Stegostoma tigrinum: one gene and its partners. The protein of the gene in region 1 interacts with the protein of each later gene in a pairwise test. Links are inferred from orthologs where the notes say so. Each region holds a gene or a part of one and is shown in the gene's direction. Other genes may lie near its edges.

The links.
Region 2: the proteins of atxn1a (region 1) and mettl27 interact in binary tests that used the Homo sapiens proteins (3 or more experiments, as listed by UniProt). The link is inferred for Stegostoma tigrinum from reciprocal best matches to the Homo sapiens genes ATXN1 and METTL27.
Region 3: the proteins of atxn1a (region 1) and anp32a interact in binary tests that used the Homo sapiens proteins (3 or more experiments, as listed by UniProt). The link is inferred for Stegostoma tigrinum from reciprocal best matches to the Homo sapiens genes ATXN1 and ANP32A.
Region 4: the proteins of atxn1a (region 1) and hivep1 interact in binary tests that used the Homo sapiens proteins (3 or more experiments, as listed by UniProt). The link is inferred for Stegostoma tigrinum from reciprocal best matches to the Homo sapiens genes ATXN1 and HIVEP1.

The regions. Positions count from the first base shown.
Region 1 is NC_081355.1:38,405,092-38,412,316, reverse strand, and holds the start of atxn1a (ataxin-1a), read left to right. Parts: upstream 1-4,050; 5' UTR 4,051-4,487; intron 4,488-7,225. UniProt on the Homo sapiens protein: Chromatin-binding factor that repress Notch signaling in the absence of Notch intracellular domain by acting as a CBF1 corepressor. Binds to the HEY promoter and might assist, along with NCOR2, RBPJ-mediated repression. Binds RNA in vitro.
Region 2 is NC_081380.1:14,972,934-14,981,000, forward strand, and holds the start of mettl27 (methyltransferase-like protein 27), read left to right. Parts: upstream 1-4,881; 5' UTR 4,882-5,072; intron 5,073-5,755; exon of another isoform or gene 5,756-5,876; intron 5,877-8,067.
Region 3 is NC_081386.1:29,267,961-29,275,612, forward strand, and holds the start of anp32a (acidic leucine-rich nuclear phosphoprotein 32 family member A), read left to right. Parts: upstream 1-4,460; 5' UTR 4,461-4,490; coding exon 4,491-4,547; intron 4,548-7,652. UniProt on the Homo sapiens protein: Multifunctional protein that is involved in the regulation of many processes including tumor suppression, apoptosis, cell cycle progression or transcription. Promotes apoptosis by favouring the activation of caspase-9/CASP9 and allowing apoptosome formation.
Region 4 is NC_081355.1:40,247,033-40,254,531, forward strand, and holds the start of hivep1 (zinc finger protein 40), read left to right. Parts: upstream 1-4,334; 5' UTR 4,335-4,569; intron 4,570-4,848; exon of another isoform or gene 4,849-4,940; intron 4,941-6,751; 5' UTR 6,752-6,832; coding exon 6,833-6,872; intron 6,873-7,499.

The DNA.
Region 1 (7,225 bases):
TAATCATGCACCGAACTGGAAATCAACCTACTTGAGATCCTGCTGGAAAGGAGATAGTGGATCTATTAGATGATTCCTGCACCAACATTTTCAAACAAGTGCCAGGACTTGGCTTGGCTGCTGAAGAAAAGGGCACTCTGTGTCAGATCCTGAACACATACCTAATAACTCCATGCCAGTATACACTGTCCCTGTGACAGCTGAGCTGGGGAAGAGACTATCACCCCTATACTTCCAGAATGTGCATTGCATCTGGAAAGTAATGTAAGATTTTTGTTTAAGTTTACCTTGAACAATTCCTTATCACAGGACTCTGCTCCACGGATAGTTCTCAACAGTGCACACCAAGTAAATATTAACTGCTGCTTGATCCATAAACTTGCTGAATGACAAAGAGCTGAATACGACTGATTGTTGCAGACTGCCAAATTCCAAGGTGCAGGATGACATATAGTGGGATGCTGTTAACCTGAATGCAGCCACTTGAAAGGATTATTGGTAAGGCTACAGTACAGAGCTTTGCTACCCTTGAACACAGAAGGGCTAGAGCCAATATAAGACCCCTCAAGATTTATATGTGTATCTGAAATTAAGCGCAGAAAATATACAATTGTTGTAACACAAAATGAGGTTATTGAGCCTTTGCTAGCACTGTGCAAGACCAAATTAGCTAGTTCCACACAAACAGAAACAGAAACAGAAGTGGCTGGAGAAACTCAGCAGGTCTGGCAGCATCTGTGGAGATAAAACAGAATTAACATTTTGAGTCCAGTGACCTTTCTTCAGATCTCCAGCATCTGTGATTCTTGAATTTATTTTAGCTAATCCCATGATCTAACCTTTCTCCATAGTCCTGCAATTTATTCTGTTCAGATGCTAATCAATTCCCTTTTTAAATCCATGATTAAAACTACTTTCACCACTCTCCTCATAGTATATTCCAGAATCTAACCACTCACAACATTGTATATTGTCCTTATATTGCATTTAGTTCTTCTTGTCTTTCATCACAATCAGTATCTTCTGTTTCTCAACCCTTCTGCCAAAGGGAACTTTCTCTTCGTCCAGTCTGCAATAACACCATTAATGCTTTTATCACCTTTATCAAATCCCCTTTCAATCTTCTCTCTTCTAAGAATAATCCCAGTTTGTCTAATCTTACCATGTAACTGAAGTTCCTCATTCACAGAATCACTGTTGCAAATCCTTTCTGCATCCTGTCTAAAGCTTCACATATTATAAATAGATTATATCCAACAACTCAGAGTAGTAAGGGTATGGAACGCTTTGCCTGCAACGGTAGTGGATTTGCCAACTTTAGTACATTTAAATCATCATTGGACAAGCATATGGATGTACATGGAATAGTGTAGGTTAGATGGGCTGCAGATTGGTACGGCAGGTCGGCACAACATCGAGGGCTGAAGGGCCTGTACTGTGCTGTAATGTTCTATGTTCTATATAGTACTTTTAATAGAATAAAATGATACAGAGCACTGCATAGGAGCATTATAAAACCAAATTTGGCATGAAGTCAAGTAAGGAGATACCCACAGGTGACCAAAATTGTGTTTAAAGAGAGATGTTTTAAGCAAATTTCAAAGGACAAAGGAAAGGTTTTAAAGGAGGAAGTTTCTGGCAGTTGAAGACACCAGTACTGCAGCAATTAACAACAAGATGCTTAAGAGACTAGAATTGGATATCTGTAGATGACTTAGAGGGTTGGCGGGCTGGAGATGAATTCAAAAATAGGGAGGATTGAACCATGGGTGAGATTTCAAAACAGGTATGGGAATTTTAAAATCAAGGCATTGCTTAACTGGAAGCCGTTATAGGCAAGCAAAGCAGAAAGATGAAATGAGCAGGACTTGGGGCAAATAAAGGCAGAGGTAGCAGAATTTTGGATGGCATCAAGTTTACAGAACAGAAGAATGGGAAATAAGAAGATATGAAAATGGGAATTGATGGTCATAGTGATGTGCAGACTGCGGGCAGAATCTCCATTCTGGCTGGAAGTTTTGTACCGTCTGGCTCAGATTTAAACAGGCAGAAGATGCAGTCAATGGCAAAGAAAATGAATGTATAACGTGGGTTAAAGAAGATTGGTTCAATTTTCCCAAAGCTTAATTGGAGAAAAATAATGTTATGTAAGTGCAATATTATTTTTGTGCAGTCTGTATGTTCCATGGAGTAAGGGATCCTTGAGTGCATGAATTATATTTATTTAAATTGATCTGTATTCAATGTATACTGAATTATACTGTAATTTTATAATTTATCAATATATAATTCTGGGACAAACAGGCTCTTCTAGATCTAAGAACCAAAGTTTAAGACTTTCCAACATGTGTTTGATTTACTGAAGAGCCAGGGTCCAATCTATCCTGTTGGTATTCCCCATCCCGATCATCACCCCTTAACTATCTTAGGGTGGGATAATGCCAGGTGCATGCAGGCAAAACTAAGGAATGACCTTCACATTACAGAGGTCAAGGTGATTTGCAGGGCACCTTTTACTGATTCCTATTCCCCATTTAAGATTGTGTTTTTAAATATGTTAAATATGCTAGTTAATGCTATGAGAGTTAGCCTAAAGCTAAATACCATATGTTGCCATTGTAGAGTGCTGTACAGTCCCAGTAAACCATGACTAAGCTAATTCATCGCTCTGTATCAGTTCATAAACCAGCTGGCATTTTAGAATTACGTCAGAAATGAACAGTACAGTCAGTAATCTTATGAGTTTCCATATGTTAGTGCTTTAAGTGTGCATTTAATGGGAGCAGTTGATTACAGGGAACTACCACAGTCAATTCTATTTGTGTTTTATGTTGCATGTACATTTATTAAAAATATTGTGCAGCATCCTATGTATAAAACATTTTCTTTAAAAAATGATAAAACCCAGAACTACATAAATAGGTATATATCTCAACTGCCACTTAGTTTTTTCAAATGCATTTATCAGGACTTGACGGCTCTTTGAATCCTTAAGTTTTACAACTCTGAGTACATTCAGTTTCCAAAAATACATGTATTACGTTGAAAATTATTATACTATAATTGGAACACTGAACGTCAGACAATTCCAAGCAATTGCAGCTTAGAGTACTAAATTGACGCATTGTAATTTCTGGGAAACAAAAAGCTTTAATTTCATCCATGTAAATAAGGTGTTGGAACAGGATCCACTGACATTTCCACTAGGAAAACAACAGTAAGACTGTGTCCAGCACTTGGTGTTGTAAAGGACAAACACACTGCAGCAACCCTAGTGTGTGAAGTCTGCACTGCATTGAAACATTACATCATCCCTGACCAATCAGAAGTGAATGAGTGACTGGGAGCGATTCCAGCTGTTTATGTTGCTCTCAGGAAAGAGTGAGCGCGGCCCTTCAGCTGGATGGGATATTCCTGCAGCGTGTTTCTGTTTAAAGGAACCTTTCCAAAACTGCTCCACTAACGCCCTTTTTAAAGGGATATTCCGCAGTTCACTTCAGCAGACAGCGCATTTCGAAATCAAGGATCACATCGATGACGAAGGCAAAGTTTTAACTGCAGACGTTGGAAAGATGAGTGGGAAAGGCAATCTCATACTCGAAATCAAACCTTGAAGGGTTCGGCTTTGAAGTATAAATTGGGTTCAAGTGAAAATGCATGGGTGTCATTGGAGTAGAGCGAGTGGAATCCAAAACGCACATGCATCACACACTTACACCAGTCGTTTGCACTTGGGACAGTTTGAATTTGAGCATTTCCTCCATTCAATAAAATCCATACTTCAGAATGACAAAAGCTTGTTAAAAGCTGAAAAAAGTTCTACTTACATAAATTGGTTCATACATATGTTGATATATTTATCGTCTATTCAGATTCATTTTACCTTTCTATTCGGCCCCATTTCTTCCACTTCAGCACAGTAAGTTCCTGCATCGGACGAGTTAAATTAGTTGGCAGCTTGCAATCTGCACTGTTGCAACAAACACGTTCTATTGTACTGCCCTAGGCAAGTTACTCGACTGGCTTTTAAAGGACTTCTTGGTTGTACTGTACACGTGACTTTTACAAGTTTAACTTTACTTTCAAAATTTATCGCACTCCTGCGCTGACGCGTAGATGTATATACCATGCCCGTACATAACACACTGCAATATGTTGACTGTGTTCTGTTGCAATTAGGACTTCTTTACGTAGTTTTCTTCTAGCCCTCTCAACGCGCTCACATTAATCTCTGGATCTGTTGGCAGCCGGCCAGTATGTGTGTTGTCTTGCATCCTTTGCATATAGTAGAATCCTTAAGCTATCAGCAGACGCAGCCAAGTGCTCCATATTTGGCTTATGTTACACACACGCAGTGAGAGCGAGCGCTGGAGGAGAGAAGCAGAGCAGGAGTGGTGTCTGCAAGACAGACATTACTACAGAGCTACAAGCTCGGCTTCCTTCATCGCGGAGCGCCACGTCTTGGGCATCACCGCCTTTTTGATGTTGTAAGTGTTTTATATAAAGAAATATATATTTTACGGTTCTTCTCCAGCGACATTGGCTATTTGCTTTCATTTCCTTGCTCTGTGTATGTGTAGGTTGTTATGAAATGGCTAGGCTCCCTCTTATAGTACAAACACAGCCTTGCTCAGAAATCTGATTGAGAAAACTGTGTGTGTATTTTGTGTGGTCTGTGTGTGATTATGAAGTGCTGCCCTGAGTATGTGCTGTGATGTTTTCGTCCGGGTTGTGTGTGAGTGGGGAGCGTTAGGATTGGGGTTGGGGGGACGGCAGGTAATGCTTGGGGGATGATGTTTTGCTGGGGAGGAGGCGGATGGGGGTGGGGGGTTGGGTGCTGGTAGGGGTGGAGACTGAGGGGATGCCGCGGCAGGGCTCGGGAAACGGCGGCTCGTCAGGGAGCTGACCGCTTGTTTAATCGGGTCATGTAGGAGACGGGCTCGCCAGAGCGTTGCGTAATCGGGTAGATAGGGCTGGTCTGCAGAAGGGAACATTTTTATCTTGTTTACAACGCTGCCGATACATTGTAGTGCGATATCTATGCGGTCAGACCATCCAAGCAGACAGTGGCACCACGCAAGTCTCTTTATTGTTACTACCTCGGTGACTCATCGGCAAATCTTATTCCTCCATCTGCTTTTTTCTACAACATTATTGCAGGCTGTTGGTTTTGAGTGTGTGTTGAACTAGGTCGTTATCGATGGCCAATAAGCATATAAAAATTGTTGGACTTGATAAATCTCAGCACATTTGTCCAAAGGACCTATTGGCTCCAGAATTTATCTGTAGCCCTTATCCCACAAACACGTCAAGAATTTTGTGTTTAAAATGAGTACAGTTTGTGTCAAATGAAAGAGCAACAAAGGGCGGCGAGATCAGTTTTTGTCCACTAGCATTATGCGTCTGACACTTTGACTATCCACCCTCCCGTCATTCAAATGCAGAAATTCAAGGCAACACCACATTAAACAAACACTTAAAACAAAACGTGGACATTGTTTTCTGGTGAGTCAGTAACTCCTCTTTCTGAGGCAGAGCTGCTGCGTAAAAAGATCATGAATGAGACTGGGAATACTATAATTATTTCCAAGCCATTGCATCAGTGTTGACAATAAGCAGTTAAAAATACATTAACTGTGTGTTAACATGTTCAATGCATTGGATAATGAAAGTCTCAGAAATGATTTCCATGTGTGGAAGTTCTTGGAGAAGCTGTCGTGTGCACTACACGTACAAAGATGTTGGTGTAGGATTTCATTGCGCTACCCCTGGACCTGATCAATCATGTAATTAGATCAGGTTGCCCTGGTAACTGACGTTATTTATCTCTTCAATGAGGTGCGCATGCTTATCTTGTAAAAGAGCTTGTGTCCTTCGGCATATTTCATACTGTAAGTGCCGGGTGGTCACATATTTATCCATTATTTTAAAATGGATTGAATCCGGTATTTATTTCAGCAGTAAATAAACATATTTGTTCGAAGTATTTCAAGATAAAAGGCCTTGTAACGTGTATACATAAAATACTAGCTGATAGCCAATCAAGGCCGTGTGATGGCAAGATGCTGCTGTGAACACCGCTTGAAGGCTTGCTGTTAAAGACCTAACTTGGAGGTGGAGTGTGGGTTATGTGAATCTGGCTCATTGTAACTGTTTAGAAACTGTTGAGGTCAGTCAAAGGGCAGTTGTAACTAAGTTTTAGGTGCCAGATCAGCGACTGCATTTACTGTCCGTTTAAAAAAATGTATCCAGTAGCATGGTGTGACGTAGTGTCTGGAATGTAATACATGCACCACACTGGATGCAAGTTTTTTTTTATACTTTTGTGTTTTCGGATGTAATAGTTATGCATGTTAGAATAAGCCACCTAGGTGTCTAAAAAATTATGTTGTATCTGTGGAACACTTGAGAATGTAGTATTTATTGTGCTGGAGATTTTCAAATATGATCTAATTTCTATTAAGTGGTAGAGATGTACATAGAAGGATATGATAGCCACATTTTCAATTTTGCTTTCTTAACAGAATCAATATAGATACACAATATATGGTGTTGTACAAAGTATCCACATTAAGTCTTCATGGAGATATTTAACATAATCTAGTGTCAATATCATAATTTGTGTTGAGTACGTTTTGGCTGAGGACCATTGGTGATCAGCAGTGAATTTTGAAAAATAGCTGTGTTTTGGCATGCATCAAAATCAGTACATCTTTTAGTATGAGCTGAAAGTAGGTGAGGCTAAAATAGTATCAGAGATAATGGGAACTGCAGATGCTGGAGATTCCAAGATAATAAAATGTGAGGCTGGATGAACACAGCAGGCCAAGCAGCATCTCAGGAGCACAAAAGCCGACGTTTCGGGCCTAGAGGTGAGGCTTGTTGTTGCTGGCACATACTTGAATGATTAATCTTTGTATTCATTTGAGTGATTAAAAAGAATCAATTACCTATACCTACGGGTATCAATCTCAGTATTCTATAATCAGGGAGATCATTCGGATACAAAGGAGACAGCTGAGTTGAGTCACAGTAGGTATTCATGTTTTTTATGTTGCCCTTACATTTCTGGAAATAAAATGCCAATAAGATAGGAGTGTCTTCAGTTGGCTGGATATATATTGGCCAGGTGTCCGTGTAGAGGAACATCGAAAGACATTGGTTGTACTTTAGTACCACGTAGTTCCCAAGCCACAACATTTCAGCCAGCAGCCAGAATATGGTG
Region 2 (8,067 bases), on another chromosome or scaffold:
CCATTTTAAGGGATCTATGTATCTGCACACCAAGATCCCTCTGTTCCTCCACACTGCCAAGAATCCTATCCTTAATCCTGTACTCAGCTTTCAAATTCGACCTTCCAAAATGCATCACCTCACATTTATCCAGGTTGAACTCCATTACCTTCAGTGAAATGGATTGTTACTGGCAGGTGAAGCTGCTAAAAGTAGTAGTTTTCGAAAAACATTCTTGGCTCCCTCTTGCAGCTCAGTGGTATGTCCCTACTCCTGGGCTGAGAGACCTGCGTTCAAGTCCCACCTGCTTCAGAGATTTAAAACACCTTTGAACAGATTGATTGGAAAAGAAACAGGTCTAACTACATTCTGGGGGGTCTTGTAAATTTCCCTACCTCTGAGCCAAGAGGCCTGCGGTCAATTCCCACATCTAGAGGTGTATAATAGCATCACTAAACAGATTGATGAAATACAATATCTTAACTATGTTCTATAGGGCCTTCCTGCAGCACAGTGGTAGTGTCCCTACACCTGGACTATGAGGCCAAGGTTCAAGTTGCATGTGTGCAACAACATTGCTAAACAGATTGATTAGAAAAAATATTCTAACTACATTCTGAAAGGGTTCTTGTGCTGCTCTGGTAGTGTCTCAACCTCTGAACCAGAAAGCCTGGGTTCAAGTTCCACCTGTTCCAGAGGTGTGCAAAAACATCTCGGAAATAGACTGATTAGAAAAACAATAGGTCTAACAACATTCTTAGGCCCTCTTCTGGTACAGAGGTAGTGTCCCTACCCTTGAACTGAGAAGCCTGGGTTCAAGTCCCACCTGCTCCAGATGTGTACAATAACATGTCTGAACAAGTTGATAGGAAAATATCTCTAATTACATTCTGGATGCTAATTTTGAGATCCAGATGGTTGAGCATGCCATTTGACATTTCCATGGCTATGGAAGAGAATTAGCACAGATCAGCAGTGATCTTTCCAGTGTGGAAACTATCATTGATGATCCAACAGTCTACATATCTGCAAACATGATGGAAGAAGTCAGAAAAACCACAAACAGAATTTGGTAAAACTACTAAAGAGAGCGACCAGATCAAGGAGGAGGGGATGAGAGGGAGGATTAGTCATTGGATGAGGCCGGGGTGGGGAGATTTTGAAGCTTGTAAAGTCCACATTGAGACCATTCGGCTGTAGAGCTCCCAAGGCGGAACATGAGGTGCTGCTCCTCCAGTTTCCGGGTGGCGCCATTATGTCACTGGAGGAGGCCCAGCATGGACATGTCATCCAGGGAGTAGGAGAGGGAGTTGAAGTGGTTCACAACTGGAAGGTGCTACATTTGTTGTGAACCGAGCGCAGGTGCTCCACAAAGCGGTCTCCGAACGTCTGGTTTGTCTTACCAATGTAGAGGAGGCCACATTGGTAGCAGTGGATGCAACAGACCACATTTGCGGATGTGCAGGTGAACAGCTGTCTGATGTGGAATGTTTTTTTGGGTCTTGGGATGGAGGTGGGGGGAGAGGTGTTGTGACAAGCAAAGCACTTCCTGCAGTTGCAGGAAAAGGTGCCAGAGGTGGTGGGGCTAGTGGGGAGTGTAGAGTAAAACAAGAGACTCTTGGAGAGAGCGGTCCCTACAGAAGGCAGATAGGGGTGGGGAGGGAAATATTTCCTTCATTGTGGGGTCAGATTGCAGGTAGCAGAAGTGGCGGAGAGTGATGCATTGAGTCCGGAAGTTAGTGGGGTGTTACTTGAGGACAACGAGGATTCTATCTTTCTTTTTGTTGCAGGGAGAGGATGTGAGGGCAGAGGTACTGGAAACATAATAGATGTGGTCAAGAGCATTTTTGGCCACTGAAGGGGGAAGCTGCGGTCCTTGAAATACAAGGGCATCTGGGATGTTCAGGAGTGGAATGCCTCACCTTAGAAGCAAAAGCTGCGGAGGTAGAGGGATTGGGAGTATGGGATCGCACTCTTGCAGGAAGGTGGGTGAGAGGAGGTGCAGTCTAGTGAATATTTCATGTCAGTTTTTACTGTGGAGAAAGAAATAGAGTCTAGAGAATGCACAAAAGTAAACTTTGATGTTTTAAAAACATTTCACATTACAGAAGAGGAATTTTGGGAGATCTTAGAGAATATAAAGGTGGATAAATCACTGGGAATGTTTCCCAGAATATTGGAGGAAGTAAGGGAGAAAATTACAAGACACCTTGCAGAAATATTTGCATCATCTATAACTACAGGTAAGGTGCCTGATGACTGGAGGGTGGCTGATGTTGTTTGTTAACCTTTGTTTAAGAGTGGTTGTAGGGAGAAACCAATGAACTATAGAACTGTTGAGTCTGACTTCGGTTGTGGGTAAATTGTTGGAGGCAATAATAAAAGATAGGATTTATGGATATTTAGAGAGGCAAAAATCAATTAGGGATAGTCAGCATAGTTTTGTGTGAGGAAAATTGTAAGTTTTTGAGGAAGCTACCAAGAAGGTTGATGATGGCAAAGCAGTAAACATTGTTTATTTGGATTTTAGTAAAGCCCTTGACAAAGTTCTGCATAGGAGACTAATTAGTAAAGCTAGCGCACGTGGCATTCAGGGTGAGTTTGCCAGTTGGATACATAATTGGCTTATTGGCAGGAGACAGTAATGGTGAAGGGTTGCTTTTCACATGGAGGCCTGAGGGTTGCAGTGGTCCACAGTGATTGGTTCTGGGTCCTCTTTTGCTTGTCATTTATATAAATAATTTGGATGAGACTATTGAAGACATGGTTAGTAAGTTTTCAGATGACACCAAATTTGGTGGCATTGTAGATAGTCAAGAAGGTTTTCTAAGCATACAAAGGGATCTTGGTGAAATGGGTCAATTGGGTTGTAAAATGGCAGATGAAGTTCAATCTGGATAAATGTGAGGTATTGTATTTTGGTATAACAAACAAGGGTAGGTTTATACAATTAATGGCAATAATTAGTGGTAGGTTTATATAATTAATGGTAGTGTTGTAGAACAGAGGGATCTAGGGGTGCAGGCATGTACTTCTTTAAAGTTTGCTTCACGTATAGACAGGGTGGTTAAAAAAGTGTTTGGGATGCTTGCCTTTATTGCTCAGTCCTTTAGAATAGGAATTCAGATGTTATGTTGTGGTTGTAAAAGATGCTGCTGAGGCTACTTCTGGAGTACTGTGTCCAGTTCTGGTCATCCAGTTATAGGAAAGTCATCATCAAGCTGGAGAGGGTTCAGGAGAGATTTACCAGGAAGTTGCTGGGTGTGGAAGGTGTCAGTTAAAAGGAAAGGCTGGATAGGCTGGAACTTTTTTCACTGGAGAATAGGAGTTTGGCAAGTGACCTGATAGAAGTCTCTAAAATAATGAGAGGTATTGATAAAGTTGATGGTAGTTGTCTTTTCCCTAAGATGGGGAATTTCAAGGCTAGAAAGTACATTTTTAAGGTGAGAGGAGAGAGATTTAAAATAAAAACATAAGCAGCAAATAGGTTACATAGAGGGTGGCTGACATGTGGAATGAAGTTCCTGAGGAAGTGGTGGATGCGGGTATAATTACAACATTTAAAAAGGCATTTGGATGGATAGAAGAATAGGAAAAGTTTGGAGGGATATGGGCCAGCAGAAGGCAGGTGGGACTAGTTTAGTTTGATATGATGATCAGCATTGACTGTTTAGACTGAAGGGTCTGTTTCTGTGCTGTACGACTCTATAATGGCAAAAAGGCTTCACCTGGATCCTGACAAGGTGAGAAGTCTGATATAATAGGAGCTGCAGATGCAGGATTTCGGCCCAGACCTGAAATGTCAACTTTCCTGCTCCTAAGATGCTGCTTGGCCTGCTGTGTTCCTGCAGCTCTATACCTTGTTATCAAGATGAGAACTCTACTGGAGGAGCAATGACCATCTGGCATGAAAGTGGTGCAACAATTTGTGAGCTAAGTTTCTGCTTTATTTGTCATCAAAGTGAGTACCTCCACATAGTTTTTTGTTAAGGATGGCATTGGAACACAGAACAAGAAGCTCTTCATCTTACAATCAATTAGGACTGACAATGCCAGTGCTAAAGTACAAGTGTCAACAATGAACACAGTTACAGTGTGATGTAGTAGAAGACCAGATTTGGAGCAAGCCTTATGCAGCAAGGACAAGCAGTTGCATTTATATCCAAAACATTAATGTAAGCTGAATTCACTCCACATGTATCTAGAGAGATTTCTCTTCATAAAACTGATAAAATATTACCAAAGCTGAGCACTGGATAGCCAGTTAGAATGCAAACATTCAATTTTTTCAAGCAAGGTTAACCCAAATGGCAACTTAGGACTCTGTGAGCACCTGTAATCTCAAGCATACCTGGTGAATTTGAGTGACTAGCTATATCACTGCAACTTGTGGACATATACGTATAACTGATGAAGTTTCTCCTTTACTGTAGACAGCCGATGAGAAAGATAAATGTCACCTCACTGCACAAAATATAGAATGACTATCTGCCCTAGCAGTCCACTGTTCTCCAGCAAGGCAATGGATAAGCACCAACAGTTACCAGGTCAACTCAGTCATCAGAATGACACTCCCTAAAGATGGAACATCACTCCAGGAATGGCCAGATTCCACACAAACAGCCAAAAACAATGTGCACACATAACATCATAAGATCTGCATGAATGCGTGTGCAATGCCTGTGCAAATGGTCATGAGAGGGATAGACGAAAATTAACAAACGTTTTCGATAATTAGTTTTTCCCAATATGTAGGATACCTTACAACTGCAAATGATTGCATTTTCTAACGAAAATAGGGATGTTTGAAGAAATGCACTTCTGCCCTGGTACGCTTGCGGCTTATCATAGACATGTGACCTATACTGTAGGTTGCTTTCACTTTCGAAGTAGAGCCATTAAAGTATATTGCATGAAACACCGTTTCCGTTTTTGGGCACAACTTAATGAGAAACTTTTTACAAGTACAACCATGTCACGTGGGTTTTCCAAAGTGCGCTCAGATTACCACTTCCTTCAAATAAAGCTGGTAGGCGACCCCTCGTAAATGCATCCCATCATCCTTGAGTAATTCCTTCGCTTGGTTTATCCAGGTAATGATCAAGTTTACTTGGAAACTCTCTGTATCAATCAAAGATTTTGGTATAGGCAATGGCTCCAATTTTCGAATGTTTTCTTTTAATGTACCTGTCTCCTAGATTTGTCTGAATCTTGATTCCAAAAGTCTCTCTCCTTTTGTTACTCAGTCTAGACTACCCAGTGGTACTTCCTTCAAGGAAAAAAAGCGATTTCAAAACGGTGCTGAGAGCCTGGGGCGTTTTTCCCTCTCTCCCAAAATTGGTATTTTACGAACGTATTCCAGACAGTTGTGTGTTACGAGCGGTTGCACGATAAATTATATCATTAGGCGCAATTTTAAAATCTCTATAGATCTGACAGCGATGTAATTTGTAGATGCCGCCCTCCGCACGTTACTTTGAAGCTGAAGTTGCTCGGGAAGTAAACTGGTATTTTCCACATTATGACAGATTTGGTGACGGGGCGGGTCTTTCACAGTGACAGAACATCGAAGCACACAGACCGCTCGAGTAGGACTTGGCCAGAACTGGGAGTACCGCCTCGGGCGACAGTTAGACTCGCGCCTCGTCGTCAGAATTCGAAAAGGCAGCGCGAGAGCCAACGATCTCGCAAGGAAGAGGCGCGATAATTGGGGGCGGGGGGGCGGAGAGGGAGAGAAGAGAAGAAAGAGTATGGCCATGGGGGGGGGGTGAGAAGAGAAGAAGAAAGAGGACGAATACGGAGCGGGAGTTTGGGGTTGGGCCAGAGGAGGCCCGTGACAGAGCACGGGTTGGCTAGACGCTTAATACAGATGTGGGAGAGAGCGTGGGGTCTCACTGGTATGTAAGCTAAAGAGGACTGTTATAAAGCGACGGAGGTGTGGGCTATTCAAAACCCATTACAGAGTAGCGGGATATTGTATATAGCCCAATACGTATAAAAATGGAATCTCGTCTTGAGTATATAACCAATTCAAAAGACCATTCACGCTTCAGAACTTGTTTGTTTTAAGATTAACTAAAATAATCAACCTTGAAAAAGAGCAGTACTTTCAAAATAGGATTGCTGAATCAAAATTGCTCGACCTATTCTGCTCAATTTTTTAAAATATATTTGAAATGCTCAAAGGCTGACTAAAAATGCTAAGATTGGCAGATGTTTCTAATCATCCAGTGTTATTCCACACCTCCAAAGCAGATGGAACTTGAACCCAGGCCTCCTAGCTCAGAAGAACTCTACCACTGTGACTCAAGTCAAATCTTTTACTAGTACATTTTTCACTTCCCACAGAACTGTCTCTTAGGAAATCATCAGGATGCATTATGAAAATGCCTGAAAGTTTTTTTACTTTGGTACCAAGTTGTGTCTGTTTTTAGTTGAACAATTTCAATGAAACATATCCCACTTAAAGCATCATTCAGGCCATGAAAGCATTTTACTTTAAATTCAAAAGCTTTCCTCATGCATTTTTACCCTTTGGACAATTTCAGAAACACCTCTGAAATTTATCATACTGTAAAAATGCAGCTTATGTCATTTTTTGTTATTGGTATGGTCATTGGTAAGGCCACCATTTGATGCTTGTCCTCAAGTGAACCTTGAACGGAGTGGATTGTTAAAACTATTTCAGAGGGTAGTTAAGAGACAACATATTATGTGGAGCTAAAGTGTTATGTAGATCAGCCCTGGGAAAGCATGCTAAATTTCTCAAATTTCATTCATAAGCCTGATGGGTTTTTACTAGGTAGTCGATCGTTATCGCCATTAAAGAGCCAAATGGCCTGTTCCCACACTTTGTCTGATACCAGCTTTATGTGTTAGATTTATTACTGAATATTTGATTTGATGAATTGTTACTTGCAGTAAAATACAATATAAAGTATTGTTTTGCATGCTATCCAGACAAATCAAACCTTACATAAGTACATCAAGGTAATAGAACAGAATGCAGAATACAGTGTTACAGCGACAGAGAAAGTGCGGGGAAAGATCAACTCTAATATATTAGAGGTCTGTCCATAAGTAAGATAACAGGGAAGAAGCTGTTCTTGAAGCTGTTGGTATGTGATTTCAAACTTTTGTATCTTCTGCCCAATGGAAGAGGGTGAATTTTAACTGTTGCCCTCACAAGTTAACTTGAACTTGTGGATTACTAGTCCAATTATATCATCACAATGTCACCGATGTTGTACATTTCCACGAAGATATGGTAAAATGACTTAATACACTTTCAGGATTAGTGTACTCCATCTGGGAATGTCCACCTATAATGTCTGTAAGTCATCAAAGTCTCAAGTAATTAGCCTTGTTCTTTTTGTTCACTCATGGGACATGGGCGTCACTTTCTGGCCTGTGTTTATTGCCCAACCTTAGGTACCCTTGAGAAGATGGTGGTGAGCTGCCTTCTTGAAGCACTTTAGCCCAAGTGCTGTAGATTGACCCATAATGCCATTTGAAGAGGGGAGTACTAAACCAGGAGCTTACTGAAGTCGTCACAAGAAGACTTGAGCCCCAGGCGACGCCAGAGAATGTTGCATTGTCACATCTGTTGATAGAGCGGCTGATGTAAAGCTGTTCACCGAGGAAACTCAGGATGCAAATGGCTACTAGATTCGAGTTGAGGGAAAAACGTTCACTGGTGGGAAAACAAAATGGCAGCCATTTGGAGTGGTCGTACCATCTGATAAAGAGACAGATTGTTGGATGCTGTGCACTGAATATATTTGATGCATTTTTAAAGGTGAATAAGGTGGCTGAAGACATTTTACTGTGTTTCTTGAGTTCTGTTAGGAGCAAGATCTTTGCAATTCTAAACATTCCAGTGCAACCAGAGAAACCTGCAGAGAAGTCACACCAAGAACTATGCAAAGTGTTGGGGAGCTATTTTCCACCAGTCAATGATTACAGAATGTTTTTGTTTTTATAAAAAGGTACAACACAAAGGAGAGTCCATAGCCCAATTTGTGGCTGCCCTAAACAGTTTGGTAGAACATTGCAAATTCAGAGATTCCTCCAAGGTGCCTTGTGGGA
Region 3 (7,652 bases), on another chromosome or scaffold:
GGCAGGCGATGTAACAATTTGCGGTGTCGAACGTTCCAATTCCGAACTCTGCAACTTCGCAACATTCGGCGTTCTATCAGGAGCAACCAGCAATCAAGGTCACCAGGGTCCTCCCTTCCCTCCCTCCACTCTTTTAGGGGAGGTGTGCTGGTTGTATAACTACCTTGTTAAGATTTTTTAAAAAGTCGCTGTTGCGGGGTATGCCTTCTCAATCCAGCCACGTCTGTGCAAATCTTGCGCTCATTTTTAAAAAATTATCTTTTCTCTTTTTCCCCCCCCCCCGCCAAAAAAAGTGATACCAGTGAACATATCTGCAGATCAGGCTGTTCGCGTTATTGTTTTTCTTTTGGGCGGGGGGGGGTGGCGAGAACTGGTGGTTGGTGGTCTGCGAGTTTTTTGACAGTGAATCCTCCCCCACCCCCCCACCTATGGAAAGGGATGAAACTCAGACAAGTGAAGCATAAACACGCGCACAGGCCCTGCGAAATATCTCCTTCCGAGTTTGCGGTGTGTTTTTTTGTTTTAATCCCACGTTACAACAGATCAATTTCCCATATGTTGGGATGCTGCTATGCTTTTTTCAAATCAACAACAGGCCATACTGCCTGCAATTTGACACGTGTTGTATAACTCAGTACTTGTACCCAGGTTTGTTTTTTTTAAATCTTATGCATTTTGTGTTTCTTTTGAATTTGTATTCAGTTAGATTTTGTGGTAGCTAAATTGCTGGCAATTTGTCATGGTTTGTTTAAGTGTACCCACTCAATCGTCTCAAGTGTGAATTACTGTTCAGCTGTAGGCAGTGTGAGGAGTTGGTGACTTTGTTGGGTTTAGTATGCACATATAGAACACAGGACCATAACGCATCATTCAACACCTGAAGGGGAAAAGACAAGTTTGAGATTTTTAGGCATGTGTTCCCTTTATCCTGATATAAACTTGCCAATGGCTGGAATGGAGGAAGTGATTCAGAACAGTCAGCAGTGATCAGATCTACTGCTCAAATTGTGATCTTGTGGAAGCTTTGTTTTACTTGAGATTAGCTTTACCTCTGCCTTGATCGTGTTTTTTTTTAACCCATAGTGTTAATCCTGGGGAAATGTTTTTAAATATTTGAGTGCATTAATATTGGGCACTCTGTTCAATATCGGGGTTTATGTTCTGTCATTTAATTTGTCCAAGATAGAGAGTTTGTATTCTCAGAGATGGGCATTCATAGATTTGGTGCTAAGTTTGAGTTGTTTAGGCCACTGCTTCTGATAGACAAGCATGCTGTATCAGAGCTGCCTCAAATAGGGTTGCCATCCTAAAAACAATGGGGGTTGTGATCTCAGAGACATGCATTTTGGCTTCCATAGATCTCCTCCAGCAGCAGTTGTAACTCAGTCTTCTCTTCTTACTCTATGCCCACAGATATTCGTTGTCTTTCTCTTTCCCTCTTCCCTGACACACATGGGTCTCACTGAGATAACAACACGTTGGGTTCATGCTGGGAGAAAGGTCGGGCCCACTGGAACGCTGTGTTCATGCTCTGGGAGATGAGAGTTTAACCACCTGTGCCATCTTGGCATTATTTTAATGTTAATGACCCAGGAGGATGAGTGCTTTCTGTTGCAATATTGGATTTCATTGAACCCATATGTTGCTATATTCAGTGCATTGCAAACCAATGCCTTGGAAAAATCAATGGACTTAGAACTGTATACCATTTAAATTCTGAAGTTTTGAAGCTTACAGAATAGCAGTGTTTTTGGAGGCAGAATCAAGCCTTTGTACCTCACTGCTGCATCTTGAGCAGCTTTTTTTTAAAACTGTGCTGTTATTACATGTCCTGGTAGATCTTTCATATGTAATGTTTTCTCATTGGTATACCCAGCTCAAGTGCAGCTTGTGTACTGCATTGCTTGATACTGTTGCAGAGACTTGCACATGGATGTTTAGACTACTGTGAAACAGGATGTTGAAGTATTGGGCCTTGATGTAGAACGTTGATCTGCATATTTTGACTTGCCTCCTAGATTTTGATAAGTTGGCTTGTGTGGAAACCATCCCTAAATGGCAATGCACTTAATGATTTTTTTCAATCCAGTGGGCAAATGATGGATTTCTTTCTCGATGAGGTCACAATGTTGTGTTGCAGTCTATTCAGAAGCAGCAAACATGACCTGACTGCAATATGCATGTGAGAATGAAATGAGGTAATGTAACAGAATATTTGGATGGATAAGTAAAGGTATATCCTTCTGGGAGATAGAACACTTTCCATTTTGGGAACCTGGTGTCAACACTGAGCAGCAACTAATGCTGTCTTTACAAAACCTCCAACAGTGTGGTTTTAGCCTGAGCTTCAAAAGTACTGACAGGGCACCTGTACTGTCATTGCCAGTTACTACTACATTGGCCAGTGCAGTCATGACCTTTTTCGTTGTGTTCCCTATTCTGAAGGGAACACTTTTTTTATAATCTGAGTCTAGCCTGATTTTGTGCATTGCTGTTTCATCTTGGAGGGCATGCTTAGTGTAGATTTACATAACTTTTTGTTTTTAAATAAAGCCAGTGTTTCACCTCCAACTGTTAATTTAGAAACTGGGAGAAACTCCAGTTAGACAGCATCCGTGGAGTGAGAAACAGTGTTAGTGTTTCAGGTCAATGATCTTGCATCAGGACACTTCTTCTTGTTCAAGTATTGAGGTACAATTAAGAAAGGAAGGGGCTCTGAAGGTGAGGATGGCAATCACAAGAGGGAGTCTTGGCGGTCATGATTCCAGTGAAGATTGTAACCCTTTAAAGGAACACCAAGGTGTTTTTTTTTGTTTAAGATGCCAGAAGAGGTACAAAATTAAGCATGGACCTGGGCAACTTTTGAGGTTGAATCAGTTGGTGTGCTTGAGGCAGAGATGAGGTGTATGTGTGTCAGTGAACAATGTTGAGCTGCACTAGGAGCATGGTTTTGGATTTCTGAGAGAACCTTGTGATCATGCAAAGAATGACAGAATTCTAGGTTTGAAGCCGGAGGCCATTGTCTGTAATGGAATTGTCCCTGTAAAAACAGGTGGTTTTTAGATTATGTCGCAGAAAGGGGAAAAGGAAAACCAAGAGGGTGAACAGGGTAGAAGAACCAAAAGGAGATCCCATCAGAAAGAAGAGTAGGACACCTGGAAGAGAAGTCCTAAACCAGAAGCAAAATGCTATGGATGCTGGAAATCTGAAAGGAGACTGGAATCCTTGCTGGACTTTATCCTTGTACAGGAGCCTCCTCCCATTCTGCTTTAGCTAACTGTGTAGGTACCAGAGATAATGGGAACTGCAGATGCTGGAGAATCCAAGATAACAGAATCTGGAGCTGGATGTACACAGCAGGCCCAGCAGCATCTCAGGAGCACAAAAGCTGATGTCTCGGGCCTAGAACCTTCTTCAGAGAGGGGAATGGGGAGAGGGAACGGGAATAAATAGGGAGGGGGGAGGCGGACTGAAGATGGAGAGAAAAGATAGGTGGGGAGGTAGGGAGGGGATAGGTCAGTCCAGGGAAGACGGAGAGGTCAAGGAGGTGGGATGAGGTTAGTAGGTAGGAAATGGAGGTGCGGCTTGGGATGGGTGAGACGAAGAACAGGTTAGGGAGGCAGAGACAGGCTGGGCTGATTTTGGGATGCAATGGGGGGAGGGGAGATTTTGAAGCTTGTGAAGTCCACATTGATACCATTGGGCTGCAGGATTCCCAAGCGGAATGAGTTGCTGTTCCTGCAACCTTCGGGTGGCATCCTTGTGGCACTGCAGGAGGCCCATGATGGACATGTCATCTGAAGAATGGGAGGGGGAGTTAAAATGGTTCGCGACTGGGAGGTGCAGTTGTTTATTGCGAACCGTGCGGAGGTGTTCTGCAAAGCGGTCCCCAAGCCTCCGCTTGGTTTCCCCAATGTAGAGGAAGCCACACCAGGTACAATGGATACAGTATACCACATTGGCAGATGTGCGGGTGAACATCTGCTTGATATGGAAAATCATCTTGGGACCTGGAATGGGGGTGAGGGAGGAGGTGTGGGGGCAAGTGTAGCATTTTCTGCGGTTGCAGGAGCAGGTGCCGGGGTTGGAGGGGAGTGTGGAGAGGGAGTCGCGGAGAGAGTGATCTCTCCAGAAGGCAGACAAGGGTGGGGATGGAAAAATGTCTTGGGTGGTGGGGTCAGATTGTAGATGGCGGAAGTGTCGGAGGATGATATGTTGTATCCAGAGGTTGGTGGGGTGGTGTGAGAGAACGAGGCGGATCCTCTTAGGCGGTTGTGGCGGGGGTGGGGTGTGAGGGATGTGTTGCGGGAAATGTGGGAGACGCGGACAAGGGCGTTCTCAACCACTGCCGGTGGGGGTGGGGGGTGGGGGTGGGAGGGAGTGTAGGTACCACCTCTGTTTCTGCCACACCCCACCATTTGCTTATTTCATATCCTTTTAAATGTATTAAGAATGCTGAATGACTTCAGTACATTGTGGCTCTTGTCAAAATGTATCTTTATAATTCTGCTGTGAAGTGCTTTTGGGTGGTTCACTTGGTTTTAAAGGTGCGTACAAATGGTGTTTGTTGTTGTAATGTGAGCTTGTTGACCTTAAGTTGAACCCATCTCCAGCAATGGACTTGGTATTCGACAGATAATTTGTGAATTCAAACTGTCTCAGGTTTGTTTTTGATTTGATGAGTGGCTAGTATGAAGACTTCAGCTGATTTTAGGACATTCTAACGTTGGGGTCATCAATGCGGTTTTGATGCTGAGCCATTCCAAAATTGTGCAGGAATTTCCAAATCCTGTAAAAATCTGGAGTGCCGAGTTTAAATTTGGGATGTGGTTTTCTTGCCTTGCATTCCAAAGGAATTATGCTGTAACTGAGATTTTCAAGTTATCAGCTCTGATCTGTTGTTGGCTTTGAACACTAATAGTTTACACCTAACAGCATACCACATAATTCAAAACATAACACTAAGCTGCAAAGGGTTGGCGATTGAAGAGCTGGGTTTTAAAGACCCTCCTTGAAGCAAGTCAAGGTAGTGGTGGAGGGGTTAGTGAAGGAATGTCAGAGCTCCAGGCCTGAGCAACTGAAATGGTGCTCACTAATGGCGAAGTGACAAAAATTGGAAAATACTCCAAGACTGGATTTAGATTGAGGTTGTGTGTGTGACTTTGTGGGAGCAAAGCTGTGGAGCAGGGTGAGAATTTGAAGATCAAGATGTCGTTTGACTAGAGCCACTGCAGCAATATAGATCCAGATGGGGATGACCAAGAACCAAACACACAGAGCAAATAGAACTGTCTCTGCTAATACAAGGTCAGAACTCATACGATTCCCAGGTTACATTCCAACAAGTTTATTTGAAATCTCAAGCTTTTGGTGCATTGCCCCTTCATCAGCCTGACTTTACTTGATAATAGAGCAGCACTCCTAAAGCTTGTAATTTCAGAAACTTGTTGAACCATAACCTGGTGTTGTGTAATTTCTGACTCTGTCCACCTGCTTCCAATGCTGGCATCTGCACATCTGCTAATGTAGGAAGGGAGAAAGGGTAATGTTGTATTTCACTTTTCTCACTGTCGAGACTATGATAATGAGCAAGTTCACAAAATGTGCCCTGCAATCCCACATTCGTGAGGGATTGGGTTGACTCCCCTCAAGGTCTGAAATAGGGGATGTTACAGTCAAATCTGCAGAAGCATTCTGAGTTTGCTGCAGCCCTTGGGAATCAAGTGTAAACCATTTGAGTGCCACTTAGCTCCCAAAAAAATTGTTTCAATTATGAATGTTCTTTTTGAGCTTTTTGTCAATAGTTGACATTTCTTTTCATCTCCTCCAATCCAGTAGCTGAGCTGCCTTTTCAATTTAGTTTATCCTGAATGGAGAGCTAAGTAACTACACAGTTAGCAACTGTTCAACATGGTTACTCTCTTTCTTCTTCTTCTTCCTCCCCCTCCTCCTCCCCCCCCCCCCCCCCCCCCCGATTTGAGTGATTGGTAGGCACGGTTGTGTTCTGGAAAGGTTACTGAATGAGAGCACTGCAGATATAACTTTCGACCTCACAGGGTTTTGCTTCATATTGTTTAATTTATTCCTCTTCTTCATATCACTTCATGATCTTTCCACTCCCTCCCTATCCTTGTAATTCACTCCAAACCTACAGCCCGCCAGGGAAATCTGCCTCTAATTTAGCCCCTGGTGATTTCCCAGTAGTTCCACCTTTTTTTTTTGGAGGCTGTGCCTTTAGTTCCTAAGTCTTGCAATATCGCTGTCCTTTAGGTTTTAAAAGTCTTTAAAACCTAACTGTCTAACTGATCTCTTATCTCCTTATGTATCTCTGTGTCATGTCCTGTAATGCTACTCTGAGTACCTACTGGAATTTTTTTTTTGCATTAATAACACTGTTATTGACAAGAAAAAATGCAGTGTTACCTTTTTTAATGGGTTGGAACTGAAGCAAAAGACTGTTTGTTTGCAAGATGGGTCAAATGGCCTGTTTTAGATAACTTCGTGTCTGGTCAGGAAGTTAGCTTGCAGGGTGGGTGGGGTGGTCACGTTATCTCTGGATGCCTGCTTCATAAAAATACAGAATTAGCCCAATGCCAAATATTTTGAGTCTTGCGTTCAGTTTTATCTGGACTTACTGATTTTTTTTTTAAAACAACTTGCTGAGCGGTTCATAATGACTATGTTTTTGCTTATTGCTGTGGAGAAGGATTTGTGTGAATTATGCATTCTTCAAATCAGCTGAGTGGCAGATTTTACCCTGTGGGTGCTAATGAGCTGGAAGTAATTGTGGGGATTGCATGATGGCGTTAAGGACCTGCCCATTCAGTTGCAGGCATGATTACAGTCTTCAGGTTTGTTACGGTTTCTACTGGCTACTTTGGGGATTGAAACAGTTTAAATCTGTATCCTAATCGGTCTTTGGAATATTTGCAAGTTGATGTGGATTTGAGGCTGTGGTATGTTTTATATGCATGTCCAGTGTGCGCGTGTGCACACACCCCTTGCTTGCAATGGTCATATACCTCAAGCCACTTTGCTGACAAGGGCTCACAGTTTTGTTTACTTTACCATGTAAGGGCAGACTTGAACCCTAAGTGCACTAAAACAGTTCCTTAAGTTGCAGGTGTAATCCCCACAAAAACATCATCTTCAAAGTTCTGTAAGGTATCAATAAGTCAACTCAACCTACCACCATGGATGTGACAATCTCCCATGGCAATCGGTGTTACCCTCTGGTTTTCAGAGCAAGGAGAGCAAACCACTTGAACAGCTGGTGATTGACTGACTATAGATCAGCATGGGCAGTCGTAGCAGCCAGCAGTTTTATATAAACCTAGTAACCTAGCTAGATATCCTTGTGGCAATCCTCAGGATGATAAATCCTCTCTCAAGCAGGATAGGAAGAGCATTGTCAGACAGGTAGGTCTTAAAAGCCAGGTGGAGTGGAAATGGATTTATGGAGGGAATTATTGAGCATCTGAAGGTGACGTGGGGTAAGGCAAGAGGTCAGAAGTGGAAAGATCTGCGATGGCTGGAGGGGTTTATACTGATTTGAGGGAATGGAGGAGATAGTGATTCAGATTTTTTTAAAGTCTCTATTAGACCGTAGATCTTTAAGCACAGTGATGAGTGAACAGAATATCTCTGTCCAT
Region 4 (7,499 bases), about 1.8 Mb from region 1:
TTCTTTGTGTTGATGTCAATTTTTGTCTCTTTATGTTTCTCTGAAGCACCTTGGATCATTTTATTATGTTGAAAGCAATGTATAAATGTACATTATTGCTGTCTGCACCTTGACCCTGGTAACTACAGACCCAATCAGGCGGCACAGTGGCTCAGTGGTTAACACTGCAGCCTCACAGCGCCAGGAAACCGCGTTCAATTCCAGCCTTGGGTAACTGTCTGTGTAGAGTTTGCACGTTCTCCCTGTGTCTGCGTGGGTTTCCTCCAGGTGCTCCGATTTCCTCCCACAGTCCAAAGATGTGCAGGCTATGTGGATCAGCCATGCTAAATTGTCTATAGTGTTCAGGGGTGTGTGAATTATGGGGGGATGGGTCTGGGTGGTGATGCTCCAAGGGGCGGTGTGGATTTGTAGGGCCACACTATAAGGAATCTAATCTAATCAATCTAAAATTACTATTGTAGAAGGCATTGGAGTTGTGAAGTGGCCCTGGAAGTTGATGTTTCTTCAGAACAATTTTGGAAAAATACAAGGTGGAGGAATTGTGTGCTAATCACATTGAATCCTAGTAGATGAGAGAAATAGTAAATGAATATTTTGCATCAGTTTTTACTGTGAAGAAAGAAATGGAGGCTGAAAAACTAAGGGAAATAAATATTGATATTTTAAAAACAGCTCACATTACAGAATACAGAAATAGTTCTGGAGATCTTAAAGAAGACAAAGCTGAACAATCTCCAGGATCTGATCTAATATATCCCAGAATACTTTGGGAAGTAAAGGAGGAAACTGCAGTGACCCCTTGCAGAAATATTTGCACCATCTATACTTACTGTTGAGGTGTCTGATCACTGGAGAGTGGTTAATGCTGCACCTTTATTTAAGAAGGATTTTAAGGAGAAACTAGAGAACTATAAACCTGTGAAGCTAACTTCGTTTGTGGGTAAGTTATTGTAAGTGATTCTAAAAGATGGGATTTATAAACATTTAGAGAGGCAAAAATTGATTTTGGATAGTCAGTATGGTTTTGTGTGAAGAAAATCATGTCATAAACTTGATTGCATTTTTTGAGGAAGTTACCAAAAAGATTGATGAGGGCAGGGTAGAAGGTGTTGTTTTCTAGGTAAAGCCTTTGACAAGGTTCCACATGGTATAGTAATTAGTAAAGTTAGGTCACATGGGTTTCAGGGTGAGCTTGCCAATTGGATGCATAATTGGCTTAATGGCATGAAACAGAGAGTGGTGGTGATAGATTGCTTTTTAGATTGGAGGACAGTAGTAATGGTGTTTCACAGAAATTGGTTCTTGGTCATCTTTTGTTTATCATTTATATAAATATTTGGATGAAATTATAGAAGGCATGGGGGTGGTGTGGTGGTTCAGTGGTTAGCACTGCAGCCTCACAGTGCCAGGGACTCAGGTTTGATTCCTGCCTTGGGTGACTGTGGGTTTCTTCCCACAGTCCAAAGATGTGCAGGCTAGGTGGATTGGCCATGCTAAATTGCCCATAGTGTTCAGGGGTGTGTGGGTTATAGGGGGATGGTTCTGGGTGGGATGCTTCAAGGGGTGGTGTGGACTTGTTGGGCTGAAGGGCCTTGTTTCCACACTGTAAGTAATCTAGGTAAATCTAAATAAGTTTGCGGATGAAACCAAAATTGATGGCATAGTAGACAGTGAATGTTATCTAAGATTACAAAGGGGTCTTGATTAAATAGGTCAATGGAGTGTGAAATGGCTGATAGAATTTAATTTGGATAAATGCAAGGTATTGTGTTTTGGTACAGCAAACAGAGGCAGGACTTTTAATGGTAGAGTCTTGAGTACTGTTGTAGAACAGAGGGACACAAGGATTGAGATACTTAATTCTTTGGAGCCTGTGTCACATAGAAAGGCAATTAGCATGATTGACATCATTGCTCAGTTGTTTCAGTATAGGTATTGGGAAGTCAAGTTAAAATAGTACAGGACACTGCTGAGGTGTCTTCTGGAGTATTGTGTTGAGTTCTAGTTGCCCTGTTATTGGAAGAATATTACTAAACTAGAAGATGTTTACCAGCATGTTGCAGGTGTGGAAGGTTTAAGTTATAAGGATAGGCTGGTCCATCTTTCACTGGAGTGTAGGAGGTTGAGAGGTAACCTTTTAGAAGTTTTTATAAAATCATGAGGGTGTACAGATAGGGTTAATGGTAGAGTCTGTTCCCTAAGATGTAGGACTTCAAGTCTAGGAACATAGTCTTAAGATGAGGAGAGAGATTTTAATAAGATATGTGGGGCAACTTTTTTTTTACTTGTTGGGTGGTTCACATGTGGAATGAATTTCCTCAGGAAATAGTGGATGTGGGTGTAGTTACAATGTTTAAAAGACATTTGGATAGGCACATGAATAGGAAAGATTTGGAGGGATATGTGCCAAGAGCAGGCAGTTGGGACTAGTTTGAGATTGTTTGGCATGGACTTGTTGGACCCAATGGCCTGTTTCTGTGTTGTATGACTCTATGTTGACCCATCTTTGTTCTCAATCTCTTGATAGTTTTTGACAGTTAAACAAAATGAGGCACTTACAATTTTCATTTTTACCCATTGTATTTTCAGTGCCTCACACTAACTTAGCTACTTATACATTCTACTCTTTATTGTCATGTTATTATTTCATTAAGATAACCTTTAACAACATTCCTTTTCCAATATCAATCTTCCTCTTTGTCTTATGTTTACTGACTTAAAGCAGAGTTTATCACTCAAACATTAGTCTGTTTCTCTACCTTATGTGGTTGATCAAATGTATATTTTAAACTTTCTGTTTTTGCTTGAAATTTCTAGCATAATTATTATTCTGTCTCTATGTTCATTCTTGTTACCATGTTTGGTTAGGCCAATAATGATGAACTATAATCCTTGTAATATTATACATGTTACCTTGCTACTGGGGTGGGGGGGGGGAAGTAATGACTAATGTGGCTGAACGGTTGGACAACTTGAGACTGGCTTTAGATTCAGATTTATTTTGTAGTATGAAAAAAAATTGGCTGTGGCTGGGACAACATCCTTCCACTTGGTGTAAATAACACCTAACCCATAGAACTGCTGGGCTGTCATGCACCATCATTTCTAATAAAGGCACATAAAGTTGTGCAGGTTTTAGCATTGTGTTAACCAGAAAAAGTTGCATTTATACACCTCACAGCCCATCGATGCATAGAATATTACAGTGCTTCCTTGTGGTGTCTTGAAGGCAAACAGTCATCAAACATTGAGGTCAGGGTGAGCAGTGCTGTACAAAATTAAACGAAAATGACATTTATTTTTAAATAACATGACTATTTAAAAAGTAACATGAGAACACTACTATAGTCCTCAATATTTTGGTCCCAGTTATTGTTATTGCACCAACAAAGAGCTGTGGTTCATACGCCGAATAGTGTCAAATTGTGGGCTATTTGTGCTCTAAGTTTACACCCATTCAGGCTGGAAATCATTAGTTCGCAAAGGCAGAAAATTCCATTCCTTTATGTTCGGTCTCTTTCAGATCAGTAACTGTAAAATGAAAGATTTTTTTTTCGAACTGCTATGGATTTTCCTTTGGAATTCTTGTTCTGTGGCAATCTTTATCACTCCACTGTCCTTTTTAATGTAATTCGGCCTCCCCAGTTGAACACCCTGCTTGAGCCGTGCATTTTTTGTGTGTCCTGGTCTGTGTTGGGATTTAACTAAAGTGATGGTGGTGTTGGGAGGTTTAGAGAGGGAAAGTTTTCTGTTGTATTTCCAGTGACAAAATCACTGTATGTGAATTTTGAGTTATATAAAGTTCTGCTATAGTTGGGAACTTTTAAATATTTAGGTTCAGTACTTAAGGGACATGATGAGATTTTTTTCATGTTCATGTCGAAAACTGACGTGTTATTCTGGAAATTTCTGAATTATCTGGTCGCTCCATTTAAAAACTTCAGTTAAACGCACATAAATAGTCACGGCCAGTGCAAAAACTTCGCGCTTGTTTGTAGTCTTCAGGGTCAAGTGAATATTTTAGTTCGTTTTAAAAACGATCCCTGTGAAATTTATTTATGTCTTAATAGTTGATCCCAGCAATTCATTTGGGGGGGAAAAATACAATTCAGCATGGTTTTGGAAACTGCGTGCGTTCGAGTGACATATGTTTCGTTTTCTAGAGGATAATTCCAGACTGTAATTTCCTTAAGTATTTTCCTCCCTCCTCTTTTCGATAAGCTGCGGAAGGCTTCTGCCCTCTCTCGCCTATTGCTTCCGGATCGAGAGACTGTTGGGGAGGGGGCAGGAAAAGAGGTTGTGGGGCGGGGGGGGGGTCTTCGAGTTCGCAAGGCAGAGCTTGTTCGTCTCGGCTATTGGGTGCTGCCCTTGAGAGGATTCCGTTCCGCCTTCCTCGTTACAATTTATATTTTTTAAAAAAAACGTACAAGGTTGGGGTTTTATACGTCAGAAACAACCCGGGTCTGAAAGGAAACGGGCACCCCCCTCCTTTGCTAACGGGGTTTGTCAGGACCAGTGCCGGGAATCTGCTTCGCGGACAGGAGTTCTTACACGGTGCATTTTCCACTGGTTGGTGATTTTTAAAGATTGTTGCTGTAAATGTGTGTGGTGTGGGCTGGGGGAGGTGCTGAAGTACCTGGAAGCAATGGGAAAGCCCAGTGTGTGTGAAGGACAACGTGAGCTGACAGCGAGGAACCTCCGGGATATCCGTCACTCCGAGGGATTTACAGAGGGCCCCTCTGAGGGGGTTCCGACACCGGCCAATCAACAGCTGCTCCTTGCCTGTGGGCGGGGCGGTCGCTGTTCGTGGTTCCCCCACGTGATCTCCGCCCCTCCCGGTGATGCGCGCGGGGAGAGGCGGGGCGGGAGCTCCGCTGACGTCATGGGGCAACCTGGCAGCCGCTTTCAGCCTCGGCTCCGAAGAGGTGGAGAAGGAGGAGGTGAGAATGAGGGAGTGGCTGGCTCGCTCGCCCGGGGTTGGGGGCCTGCTGAATGGGATATTAATTCTTACTCCCACTCCGTGCTAGCTCCTTCTCTGTGGCTACCCCTCCCCCACCCCATTCATGATTTCTCCTTGATTCATGACACCTATCAAATCCCTACATCTACCCCTCCCCGTGTGATCAGACCCTTCTCTTAGATCTGACTTTTCTCAACTGTGATCTGCACCTTCTCCTCTTGCTGTACCCCTCTTGTGAAAACTAGTGACCTGCCCGCGGACGCCTTGCTCCGATTCTCTGCCTCTTTTGCCTGTGTTTTTACTTCTAATTTCATTTTGCTTTGTAGTTTGTTCCTTCCATCTGCCTTCAGTGTGATTCCCTTTAATCACATCATTTGACTTTTACTGCCTCTTTGTCTTCTGCTACTTTGCCATTCTTCTTTACGTAGATATGACATTTATTGCTCTGAGATTTGGAAGAGCAGACCTCCCAGATCTGCAGTGAATCACTTTGCTTTCGAGGCAACAGTAGCGGCCAGGAGTGTTTTGCATTCTGTTTTAACGTTTCTTTTATCGTTAGGACCAGTGACAATGCTCTGGGGGCTCAGAGTTTTGCCAGCCATCAGCTAACCTGTTTGGGGGAGCAGGTGTAGCAGAATTCAACCTTGGTTTCAGGGCATATGTTGAAGTGACTGGGGACAGAATTGAGGAACGTCTGTCCCTCTGAATCCATCTTAGTTGATTTGTTTCAACTTTAAAACTGTCTGTCTGAAGAATGTGCTTCAATAAAGGTTACTTCATCTGGTTACGTTTGATCCTGTATTTGTTTGACGTGGAGTCCAACTTGAAATTTGGATGGCAAACCTTTTACAATGTGGCTTCAATCTGCGCACCCTCTGCGGTTTATTTGCTGAGGAAACTGCTCAAGTAATCAGATTTAGTAGCTCTACCAAGACCTCAGACCGCCTGTATGAAAATCCATGAGTCTTGACTAAGCCGCATATTCGTTTCTACCTAAAAAGAATTTGCTTTTGCAGAATATTTGCAATTAGGTGCTTTTGAATTATAGTCAATATTGCTGGTATCCTCTGAGGAAACACTGCTTTTGTTTGATAACTTGATACTGTGAATCTGGGAAAAGACTTGGAGTATTGCAAACACTGTGAACATATTGTGTTATTCCTTTACTTGTCTTTAGTTTGTAATAAAGTTAGTTTTAGGATTATATTGTAAGATGTATCATAAAAGGACTAGTTGCACTGGATATTTGTGAATAGATTTGGGAGTTGGATAAGCAAGGAAAACATATCTCTCCATATTAGAAAGTTAATAGGAACTGCTGATACTGGAGTCTGAGATAACAGGGTGTAAAGCTGGATTAACACAGCAGGCCAGGCAACATCAGATTTGTTTTCAATCGGGGCAGTCAGGTTTGAGGATTTTTAGGAAGGAGCTAGAAATGGGCAGTGTGGGGTTGGGGAACTATGAGGTTGGAGTTTGTGGGTAGGAGGTTACTTGAGGTGATGAGGTTGTGGATTGTCTGGGAGATGATGTTTTTAATATGTATTAGTCTATGTACTGATTGTGTGTGAGAAGACTCAGATTTGGAAAGTTTTAGTTTTCTGCTGCATTACATACCACTGCACACTGCGAAATTTGACTTTTGAGTTAGTGCAAGCTGTGTTCTCTTAATTATCGTGTGAGACAGATCTTATTTCCTTCTTCGTAGCAGATTGCTTTTGTACTTTCTTCCTGTTTTTGAGATGTGGGGGATTATATGTGACATTTGTTATATTAATTTTTATCTTTCAGTTGTTTTGATGGTGTTTGGTCAGCGCCAGGCGGCCTTTCCGCCATCTCTGTCTCTGCCTTCCTTCAGTTTTGAGGTTGAACATGCCACGTCGGAAACAAGTTAATCCTAAACCTCTGAGAGGTGAGAATTGCCAAGAACCTGTTTAAAAATATCTAGTTAATGAAATGTGAGGCTGGATGAACACAGCAGGCCCAGCAGCATCTCGGGTGCTCCAGAGATGCTGCTGGGCCTGCTGTGTTCATCCAGCCTCACATTTCCTTATCTTGGAGTCTCCAGCATCTGCAGTTCCCATTATCACATCAAAAATATCTAGTTATTGGCTTAATTTCTTATTTTCCACATACTTTAATATTACTGAGAAGTTCAATCTGTTGTCCAGTCTTTCAGTTGTATTTCCATTCTTTTGGTTATAATTAAAAGAAAAGTCCAGATGTTCTAGTGCACACATTGGCATTACAATCAGTCTTAAAACACCAGACGCTTTATGTTGGCTGGTTGCGTGTAGTATGAGGAACTTCATTGAAATATCTTTGAGAAATTGAAAGAATAGAAATAAATTGCTAAATTAGGATTTATATTTTTTGCGCTGTCACTGACCACAATGGTAAAACTCCAATGTGCTGTATTACATGTATTTTTGCAAAATGAGAATTTAAAGCAATTATTTTGGTGGGGATCACAGATTACTCTTGGTAACACGTATACACAATAATAATAATTATAATTATATATCTGAAGGAACTGAGA